Regions from separate parts of the Mus musculus genome. Here region 2 is reported to be linked to region 1. Evidence: microRNA targets listed by miRTarBase, many of them from high-throughput screens and not tested one by one. Region 1 holds a microRNA gene; the other region holds the end of a gene's coding sequence.
The links. The annotated mature microRNA mmu-miR-7234-5p reads UUGUUUUCUCCAAAGACGUUUCU and lies in region 1 at 1,905-1,927, opposite strand. An mRNA with a match to its seed (bases 2 to 7 or 8) in the 3' UTR can be bound and repressed. Matches are read on the target gene's strand: a 7mer-m8 pairs with bases 2 to 8, a 7mer-A1 pairs with bases 2 to 7 and ends in A, and an 8mer does both.

Region 1 (5,379 bases):
AACCCTGCCAGTACCTTGATTTTGGACTTCTGGTCTCCAGAACCAGGAGAGAAGAAGTACTCTGTCTGGAGCTGTCCACTTTGTAGAATCCTTTTGACAGCAAACCTAGGACACTAATACAGAAACAAATGAAGAGCCAAGCTGAGGTTCAGGGCCTGATGATACCTGAGACAAATCTCTGTTTTAAGTCCCAGGAACAGCAAGGTTTGAAAACTGGCAATAATTGAAGATTCAAGTCAGGTTTCCAAGCAAGTTACAACTCACAAATGCTCATCACCCTCTGAATCCAGCTAAGCAGTGAGCCTTAAAGGCACTATAGTCACTGGGGATGCTGATGGGCCATGAAGGAGTTTCACCTCCCAGACTTAGATCTACAAGCATCACAGAGGTCCCTGACAATGTTAACCCAGAGAAGAAATTGCATAATAGAAGCCAAGATATCTTGGCTGTAACGCATCTCTTATGCTGTCACATATTCCTTAGGAAAGAGACTCTTCCTCTTGAATAGCACATAGAGCAGAAGAGTCAGAAGGAAGTTTCCCCACCACCAGCCAGCTAGCAGCAGGAATTTTTAAGAGTAACCCAAAGAGGGAGTGAACACAAAGGAGAAAAATAATCTATCCCTGTTGATGCTCTAGCTCACCTGGAAATAAGAGTGGCATCTTCCTATGACTCCCACCTTTGCACCCTCAGAAGGGCAAGAGGAAGCCGCCCTTGGCTTCTCTTCTGCCATCAGGAGTCATGAAGCAGTCCTAGTCAGAGGGCAGCAGGGCACATGCTCCCACCCCAGAGACTGAGCAGTGGACAAAGTCTATAAAGCAGCTGGAGTCACCTACCTAGAGCAGTGACCCCCCCTTCCCTCCTCCTCCCCCTCCCCCTCCCCCACCTCCACCAACTCTCTGCAAACCTTCACGAGAACTCTCAACAGCACCCTGAACAGCTGCCAGAAAAAGAAGTCTCACATTGTCTCTTCAAGAGGGGAAAGCACACAAACAATAACCCAGTCTGCAAGGCAGCGACCCTTCCCTTTGTACCCCACAAGAAGACCAACAGAGTCAACTAACCTGGGCCCTCAGGGGCTCCCAGAGACTGACCCACCAACCAAAGACATGGGCTGGGGCTAGCCCTCCCCCCTCTGCTGCAACCCTGCACATATGTAGCAAAAGTACAGCTTGGTCTTCATGTGGGCTCCCCCAACATCTGGAGCAGGGGCTGTCCCTGACTGTTGCCTGTGGATCCCGTTCCTCACACTGGGCTGCCTTGTCTGGCATCTGTGGGAGAGGATGAGCCTAGTCCTACAGTGACTGATGTGCCAGGATGGATTGATACCTGGTTGCACGGGGGTTGCAGGGACGGGGGTGGTGTTTCCCCCTTCTCAGAGGAGAGTAGGAAGTAGGGCCGGAGTTATGTGAGGGGGTGAGGGCTTATGTTTGGAAAGTAAAGTGAATAAATAAATTAATGAGAAAAAAAAAGGCTTGTCCCCTAGTTTTGTGTTTCCTGGTGGCACAGCCACCTCTAGCCATGGCGCTGTCATCGTCCACGAGCTCCCAGGGGAGCAGTGCCAGGGGAGTCAGCACTTACAATTTCCCATCCCCCCCCACCACCACCACCAAAAATGCCACTCACATCATCTAAAAGACAGCTCACTGGTGAGGATTAGAGATGCTCGCTGGCATCTCCCTTCCCTGTCCCCTCCAACTACGGTGGGCACCATTCGAGGGAGTGACTTTTGACAGGCGGAGGGCAGAATCAGGGTATGAGCCGCTGTGCTCGTCGCTCGGAGCGCACCATCTGTTTGATAAACTTCCTCAGAAAGAAAATATGACCTTGGAAGTTTTCTTTTCCAGGAGCACCGCTTCCAGGAACGTGCTTTGTCCTTCTACCCTAGAAAGACGTTTCTACCTAGAAACGTCTTTGGAGAAAACAAGGTGCGCATGCACGATTTGGCCACAAGGAGAACTGTGGAAGTCTCGCAGACAATAGAAAATGAGGCCCTAGTGTCTCTACATAGGCAACACGGCAGGTCGTTTTTTTAGTCGTTTCTCGATTACTTACATACTAGAACTTTCTCCTCTAAAAAGTTACAGCCTGGAAAGGAAGCCTAGTGATTCAGAAGCAGGGGCAGAAAGGGCGCCTTCCCCAGAGTGGTCTCTGGAAGCTATTGCATTTTGAACCACTTGCTTGGATCTTAGGTTTAAAGGAGATGGGTAATATTTAAGGGATGTTGAATACAGAAACGTTTTCAAGAAATTAAGCAAGAAAGATACTGTTGTAGAATACAGTTCTTAGTGATGCCATTCCTACCAATGACAAGACCACCACCACCACCACCACCACCACCACCACCACCACCACCACCGCCGCCGCCGCAATTTTTATGTTGAGGAAAGGAACAAAGGCCTGGAAAGAAATTAAAGCTTAACAGTACCAGATGTGTGTCCAACATGCCACCCAAGGGCCACATGCATCCCAGGATATGAGCGATGCAGCCAGCCGGCACCATGGCTGAAATTACAGGCAATCTCTCATAAACACTTCCCTACGTGTTCTACAAGGAACATGCAACATTTGAAGAGAGATGGAAGAGTCAATAAGCATCCATTTTCATCCCTTAAATGTGCTCCAACCTCAAGGTTTTGGCTGTGTGTTTTCCCTTCCTGTCTTGGGTAAACTTCCACAAGAAGCCGAGGAAGACTGCCTCCCTTCTGCCCCCACCACACTGAGGCTCCGCCCCAAGTCCTGCCCTCTTCCTCCCTCTCTCCCTCCAACCAGCAGTCTTTTTCCCAAAACCCGTCCGACATCCCATCTATCCCATTCCAACATTGCCAAATCCACTAGGGTTCTCTCGGGCCACCCTCTTACCACGTGCTCTCCCTTACATCTGTGTTCAGACATTAATTTAGCAACCACAGTGTGTGAGAGACACACTGCTATATATATTGGGAGACAAAGAGCTCATTAAGCCGCTGGCAGGAGAGAGCCGGTACTTCGCCCTTCTGAGGCATGTGGAGAGTTAGTTCTCTTACATAGGACCATGCTCTTCTGGATTCCCAAGAAGCTACCCACCTCCCCACTTCCTTCTGCTTCTGGTCTTGCGCCTCAACTTCCCCCTCCACACTCATGTCCCTGGAATCTGCCCTTGCCCTCTTGTTAAAGAGGCCCCTGGATGTAGAGTTCCACCAAAACTCACCTGCCAACTCCATTTTTAATTTTTAATTTAATTTTATTTTATTTTTTAGATAATGGCATCTTATCTCAGCTCACCTCCCTCTGCATGTGCACTTCTTGAGGCTTTTCTTCTTGCCCTTCTCCACTGTCAAAGCCTTCCTTCTTTTGACCCCAATCCTGACCTCACTGAGATCTGTCTCCTATAGACTAGAGCCAATGAATTGCATCTGTTGCATCTGGCATGACCCACCTAAACCCTTCCATCTGCCCAGCTGTTCACCAGAGTCTACGGGATAAAATCCAGAGAGAAGCAACCCCATTCCCTCCCATCCTAGTTTCCTCTGTGAACATCCCTTCCCTTGTTTCCTAGGTTCTGCCGCATCTGCTCACTCCCATCTCTGTGCCTAAGCCCGAAAGCCAGGCTCCCCAGCATAGCCGATGAGTCCTTTCTCCCCAGCCCCTGGCCGGGCTGTGTCCTTTCTTCTCCAGGATCTGGCTAAGGAAGGGCACAGTCCCAGCATAGATAGCCCTCTGTCATTCTGTCATAGCCAGGGTAGAGTGATCATTTCAACTGAAGTGAAACTGAACCTGGGCTTTTCTTCCAAATCAACTCTCTGGGCTAGGGGTAGGGACACAGCCGTTCTAAGCAGACAGTCATGGTAGTCTACACTTAGAATGAGGCTTGGCCTGGGCCATGTACCAGTAGCAGTTATCACCAGAATAGGAAGCCCATGCTAAGCTATAGCCCTACAGCTGCAACTCTTTTTAGGTCTGAACACATCGCAGGCCTGAGTGGAAAGCTTTTGTCGAAGTTTCTTTGCTCCTGTTGTAACTGTGAAGATAATGATGGTTCCTCACTTAGAAGGCAGCTACCCCTGTGTCCCCCTTTGCATTCAGTTCAGCCCAAGGCAGCAAAGACATCTAGCTATTCCACAAAACTTGCCGAAGAGTCTGTAAGGCCTTGATCTACCAGGGGAGAAAGGAGGTGAGTCTCTGGCAGGAGACCCCCTCCAAAAGTGCCCAGGACTGACATGCGAAGGGGGTGGCTAGCACAGGTGAGCCCTGTGTCCTGAACCTCATTCCCAGAGTGCCTTGAGCCAAAGGCTTTTTCAAAAATTCAATCTCCAAATGAGGCCTTACGAAGCCACTGTCTTTTTATGTGTGCTATTTAAAAAGAAAGGCCTCTGTCTCTCAGATGACCTGTGCAGTGTGCAGGCCTTGATACAGGGTAGATGGCACTGCAGAGGCTCCTAGGGGTGTTTAAGGCCATGCGTTCGTGGCAGCCTCTTCTCTAGCCCTCCCTAGGATGCTCCCCACCCCAGTGCACAGGAGCAAAGCACTAAGACTAAGAAGCCAGCAGCCCACCCTGCCAGGCTGCCAAGATCTGTCAGTGGCCAGCTCCCCAGAGGTGGGGCACATGTCGTTGCTGGGCAAAAGGCAACACGTATTAAACCTGACACTGAACCTCCACCCCAGACCCTTCTCTGCAGGCAGCAGGTACTCAGCTGTCTGCCTGGAAGTATGTGAGCCATAGCAAACCTTAAACAAGAGAAGGGGCGGGGAAAGGGTTGTGTCAAGGCCAAAGTCCCAATACCACAGCCTCCACTACCCAGCACACTAGGATTCCCGTATCAGAGGGTTTTTTAGCAAGACTTTTGATAAGGCAGTGACCACCCTGAAACCTGTAATGGGAATTGTCATTAAGTGGACTGAGCATTTCCAGTGACCCAACTGCTGGGACCCCACTATGATCTGGACTACAGCCCTTGGGATCTGAGATTCCACCCAGCTATAGAACCAGGGTGCCAACTGCTGAGAATTTTCACAACATTCCAAGGGCAGTTGAAAAAACTGTCACACAGCAAAGCTCCAAGACGGCAGAATCCACAGTCCTAGGCAAAGGGCAGGTGTGCGTTTGAGGGGAAGTGACGGAGGGAAGAGACAGACAACTATTCACCTGGCCCCCGGGGCCTGCAAAGAAGAAGGGGTCAAAAAACAGAAAGAGGTGAACCCACTGCTATCTCCTGGACTCAGAGGCAAATCTGGTTTGCCATCCATTACACAAACCAGCTCTTTTATAACCCAACAGACAGGGATAATAGCTATCCCTGGAGCTGAATTATAAGTGAATACTATAAATCAAGATGAAGTTCATGCCAAGCCTGTATTTTTTTTATCAGAAAAAAATTAGCAATGTTGGGTTCAAAGGAG
Region 2 (5,379 bases), not on the chromosome of region 1:
AGAAGCAACTGCAAGTATTCTTGCTGGGGAGAAAGGCTCTTTTTAATCCTAGCCAGAGCCACCTGCCAAGACCACATGAAAGAGAACAGAACCTATTTAATGGTTGGAGTCTTCTGTGCCTCTTCTACCATGTCTGCAGGGATGTGACACCATGGTTGTGGTGATAGCTACATTTTCCTTATCATCCTTCCCTATACCTTTGCCACTTTTAGAGATGTGTCCTATGCCTGGGCTTCTTTCCTGGTGGCCCTCTTAGTACTTAGGTGGAGGGCTCATGGGCCCTGAGCCTTTTCCACTGCCTTGACCTCTAGGGCTCCCACACCTTAAAAGGCTACTCCTTAACAAGCTGTGCTGGGGCTGAAGAATATGGTCTTGTGGAACCAGGAAAGGGGACACATACCATCCAATAATAGGGATGAACAGACCCTGCTAAGTGTCCTGGGACTCAGAAGGGAGAAGGGTTTAGCTTCCATCATTGCATACACTTGTTCCATCATCCCGGAGTGGGTATTTGTCTTTGCTGTAGCTTCACACTGATTGTTTCTCTTTGTTCCCTTTTGCAGAAGGCACTCTGCTCCTTCCAGATCTACAGCGTGCCCTGGAAAGGCACACACTCCCTGACAAAATTCAGCTGCAAAAATGCCTAAGGGCTGAGTCTAGAAGGATCATGCAGACTGTTCCTTACTTGTGCTCCTTCCCTATAGTGTTTCATCTCGCAGAAGGGTGCTCCGGCTCTGGAGGGCACCGCCAGTGTGTTTGCACCAGGAGACAGTAAAGGAGCTGCTGCAGGCAGGTTCTGCACATCTGAACAGCTGTCCCCTGGCTCCACTCTTCTTGCAGTACCTGCCATGCCTTGCTCAATTAAAAAAAAAAAACTCCTTTGGCTCTGTTTGAGTTGTTTCTGTCTCAGGATAATGCAGCAAGGAAACCCAGAAAACAAGTGTGTGTGTGTGTGTGTGTGTGTGTGTGTGTGTGTGTGTGTGAGAGAGAGAGAGAGAGAGAGAGAGAGAGAGAGAGAGAGGGAGAGAGAGAGAGAGAGGGAGAGGGAGAGAGAGAGAGAGAGAGAGAGAGAGAGAGAGAGACCCAGAACCCACACAGCACCAATTCCTATACTATTGGGCCTGGGTCACTGGTGTCTATGGGGTGACAGGGATACTCCCAGCCCTTCTATGCCCTGATATAACACAAGTCTTTTCATGCAGCTTCAGGGGAGATTTAACCCAAATGAAACAGACATAAAGTCAATTCCAACTTACAAGTAGGGAGTTTTAGTTAATATCACCTTAGTGCCATGATTGCATAGATCTGGGGAGGCTACAAGGTTGTATAAAATACAAGTCCTCATATCCTATTGCTCAATGTCCATCCCCATGTCCTCCAATGTAAAGGGGAGTAGCCAAGCTACTGGGACCTGTGTTCAAATCACAAAGGAGATCAGAGCTGCATTAGGAAGCTGTCTTCAGGCCACTGGTGTGAACACTAAAGGGCAGTAGAGGTCCTTCAGTAAAAGCCAAAGCAAAGCCCGAAGGGAAGGCAGAGCCTCTCTTCTTGGTGACCTATTTCCTCTGGCCTTGTAGGCAGGCTCTTCCTCCTCTGATAGTGATAAATTAATGTTCTTGAGGTGAGAGAAGGGAAGACTCAAGTAGAGGGTCTTGAGTTCCAAGACCTGAGTCTAGGCAAGGTTGGAGAGTTAGTGTCCTTATTGCCCAGGGTCTTCAGCAGAATGGTTGGCTCAGTATTAAGGGTCTTGGACAGCCCTGCCCACAGGAAAGTGTGCACATGTTTTGTCTGTGTTACTGTGTGTTGTGATAGGTTTATTACTTGGTCCTGAAATTCACTGGTGGTCCTGACGTTCAGGTGTATGGTCTGTGTCTCTGCTGCTTGACTCTGGATGGTGTGTGACTCATCGGGTCATGGAGAAAGTGAGATGATAACATGGTAGGCTAGAGCAAAACCAAGAAAGATGCAAAGTTCCTGCTGTGCTTTCCTAGACCCGACCCAGGGGAAGCAAGACTTCTCTGAAGGTAAGCCCATCTTCCCCAAAGCCATGGGACCATGTGGGGACAGCAGACATTATCTAGCTGGGTCTTTCTGATACCTTGATCTACAACATAAGAAGCAGGTTAAAATGTTTCTTATCTGTGAGTGAAGGCAAGTCATTACACAGCAATAGTACCTAGGGTGCTCCCTATCTCTCTCTCTCTCTCTCTCTCTCTCTTTCTCTCTCTCTCTCTCTCTCTCTCTCTCTCCCTCCCTCCCTCCCTCCCTCCCTCCCTCCCTCCCTCTCTCTCTCTCTCTCTCTCTCTCTCTCTCTCTCTCTCTCTCTCTCTGTGTGTGTCTCTCAACTAAAGCGTGAAACCCAGCACATCTGGAAGCTGCCTGCCCCAGCTCTGTGACCTGAGTCACCTCCTATACTCACCTCGCAGTAGTTCTTGGGATTTATGAGAATTTATTATCTAGACATTTTATAGTATAGTTCAGTATAATGTATGAACTTTCTTATATAAGTAAATATTAATCCAGCCAAAATGTTCATAGAATTTGCTTCAATGACCTATTTTTTCAAAATATCTTTAATTTTTTTGGTTTTTTTTGTAATGTATTTTTATTTTTAAAACTTTTTACACAAGACATTTTGTTCATATTCTTTTCTTTCCCTCACCTCCTCCCACATCTCTCCCAGGCCTCACAAACTTCACCAATTTCATAGTCTGTCCCTCTTAAAAAAGAAAGAAAAGAAAAGAAACCCAAACATGAAAACAAAAAAAAAAAAAAACCTAAAAATCCCAAACACACCGTTTTAGTTAGAGTTTTACTGCCGTGAACAGATACCATGACCAAGGCAAGTCTTATAAAAAACAACATTTACTTGGAGCTGGCTTTCAGGTTCAGTGGTTCAGTCCATTATCATCAAGGTGGGAGCATGGCAGTATCAAGGCAGGAATGGTGCAGGAGGAGCTGAGAGTTCTATGTCTTCATCCAAAGGCTGCTAGTGGAAGTCTGACATCCAGGCAACTAGGGTGAGGATCTTTTACCCATACCCACAGTGACACATCTATTCCAACCAGGTCACACCTATTCTAACAAGGCCACACCTTCAGATGGTGCCACTCCCTGGTCCAAGGATATACAAACCATCACACACACAGATCCCGCCCACATACCACATAGACAAAACCTTCCTTTTTAAAAAGATGTTACCATTAGAAAATGGAAGACAATCTCATTTTTAAATTTATCAAGTTAATTTTTTAAAAACCACAACCCAATTAAAATTGTAAAAAGTCTCAATAGGTATATCTCTAAAGAAGATAGGCAATTTAAAGCAAAAAGAATTTAGCTCATTTTTCATTCCTGCATCCCTGAGTTCTCTTCACATTTTGACCTTAGAAGAAGTTGGCTTGCAGTAGGGTATGTGGCTTCCTGTTTGGTTTCTTCACTGTTAGCTTAGGGCATGGGCATTTCATGAATCTCAGTCTCTACGTTTGTCATTGCTCACACAATCACATTGTTGCACAGATCCTGTTTCAGACCAAGCTGTGTTTATGCTCATATAAGCATCAGTGTTATGTTTCCCTGGAGCTTTGGATTGATTCTAGCATGTATATGTTAAATGTGTGCATTGACTTTTCTCTGCTACTATATTTCTGTAAAAATTATGGTCTTGGAAAATGGTGGCTTGCCATTAACATGTATTTTACAGTCATGTATTTTCATTTGTGTTACTTTGTTTTGGAGGTACATTATGCCAGGGAATGAATGCAATTTGATGCATATGAATTCTATTTATATTTAAAAATAATTTATACTGATAAAGTTATTTGTTGAAAAAAAAAAGAAGATAGGCAAAACATTAAGACATACATGAATGGTTATCACAAATCTGAGGATAAGGTCAGTGAAAAGCATCTGTCCCCACTTCATACTTATGGTGTCATTGAAAAAAGCTAACAAACAGGAAACCCCAACTCAACTGGTGAGGTTGGTGAAAATGATTTGGGAAAACTGCTTGGCATATCCTCAAAGCATCCCATAAGCCTAACAGTTCTACACCTGCTTATATATCCAAGATAAACAGCATAAAGTGACTGTACTCTCAAGCTTATACATGCCGTCTTCTAGCTGGGCTATTCATAACAGAAAGAAAGAGAAACAACCTGGGGCTGGAGTGATGGCTCAGTGTTTAAAAGTGATTAAGGCTGCTTTCCCACTTGAAACTTAAAATCCATTGTGGGATGACACATTGGCCTATTTTCAGTATCATGCCCCAGAGAGATACGGAGACCTGAGGAGGTCTAGCAAGACTGGGAAGGAATCAACCTGTGGAGCTGTGTTGATGTTGTCAAGCTGAACCTGATGCCACAAAGCTGTTGTTTCAGCTATTCGGAAAGTTTACGTTGGAGGAGTCCAAGTCCAAGGCTAGTCTAGACAACTCAGTGAGAAACTCCCTCAAAATAAAGACTTAGAAATGGCTGGAGATGTATCTGAGTGATAGAATTCTTGTCTAGCATGTACATGGCCCAAGTTCAACCCCAATATTACATAGTACTGTACTAGTCTCATTTCAGTTGTGATAAAATATCATGGGATGACCTGATTTAGGCAATCCCTCATTGAGACTTCCTACCCAGGTGATTCTTCATTACTTCGAGTTGACAATTAAAACTAAACACCCAGACAATTATAGCAGTACCATCTAAGGTTATAACCTTAGATCACAGAGCACCATAACTAACGCAAAAGTTAGAAATACTATGAAAATTATAAGAATGTGACCGGCACAAAGTCAAGAAGGGATCACACTGCAAAAGTGACACCTGTAGATTTGCTCAAATGTATGGTTACCTCAAACGTTTGATTTGAAAAAAAGAAAGCAGTATTTGTGAAAGGCAATACAGCAAAAGACAATACAAAGTCATTTATGCTTATACAAAGTGGACGGCTGAAATGTGTGCATGGGGTAGGTCTGGGAAAAGAGCATGAGCTCCCATGCCCTTTCCATTCGTCCATCTCCATCCCCACTTCCCACGTGTGGAAATGCAAGGACCCTCTTTTGGAGAACATTTTTGAAGATTCATTGCATATACACAGTCACCCATAGTTAAGATTTCTATTTCTGTGATAAGTATCATAACCATAGCAGCTTAAGGATGAAAGGTTTTATTTCACCTTACAGTTTGTACTCCATCATCCAAAGGAAGTCAGTGAAGCAACTCAATGCAGGAACCTAGAGACAGAGACTGATGCAGAGGCTGTGGAGGAGTTCTGTTTATTGCCTTGCTCCTCATGACTTGCTCAGCTTCCTTTCCAGGAATACCCTCCTGGAGAGATGTACTTACTTAATCACATCAATCATCATCCCAGCCAATGCTCTGTTGC

Region 2: the mRNA of Cst3 is a reported target of mmu-miR-7234-5p. The part of its 3' UTR that is shown has no 7-base or 8-base seed match.

The regions. Positions count from the first base shown.
Region 1 is chr7:73,816,138-73,821,516 of GRCm38, reverse strand. Mir7234 (microRNA 7234) reads right to left here and starts at 1,927; the gene lies at 1,876-1,927. It overlaps Gm10619 (predicted gene 10619), which reads left to right and starts at 5,014. Exons shown (of 4, transcript NR_077222.1): 1 at 5,014-5,379.
Region 2 is chr2:148,867,228-148,872,606 of GRCm38, reverse strand. It overlaps Cst3 (cystatin C), which reads left to right. Exons shown (of 3, transcript NM_009976.4): 3 at 564-885. The coding sequence ends at 647. Among named protein-coding and RNA genes, the nearest start is that of Cst3, 5.6 kb to the left of the region's middle.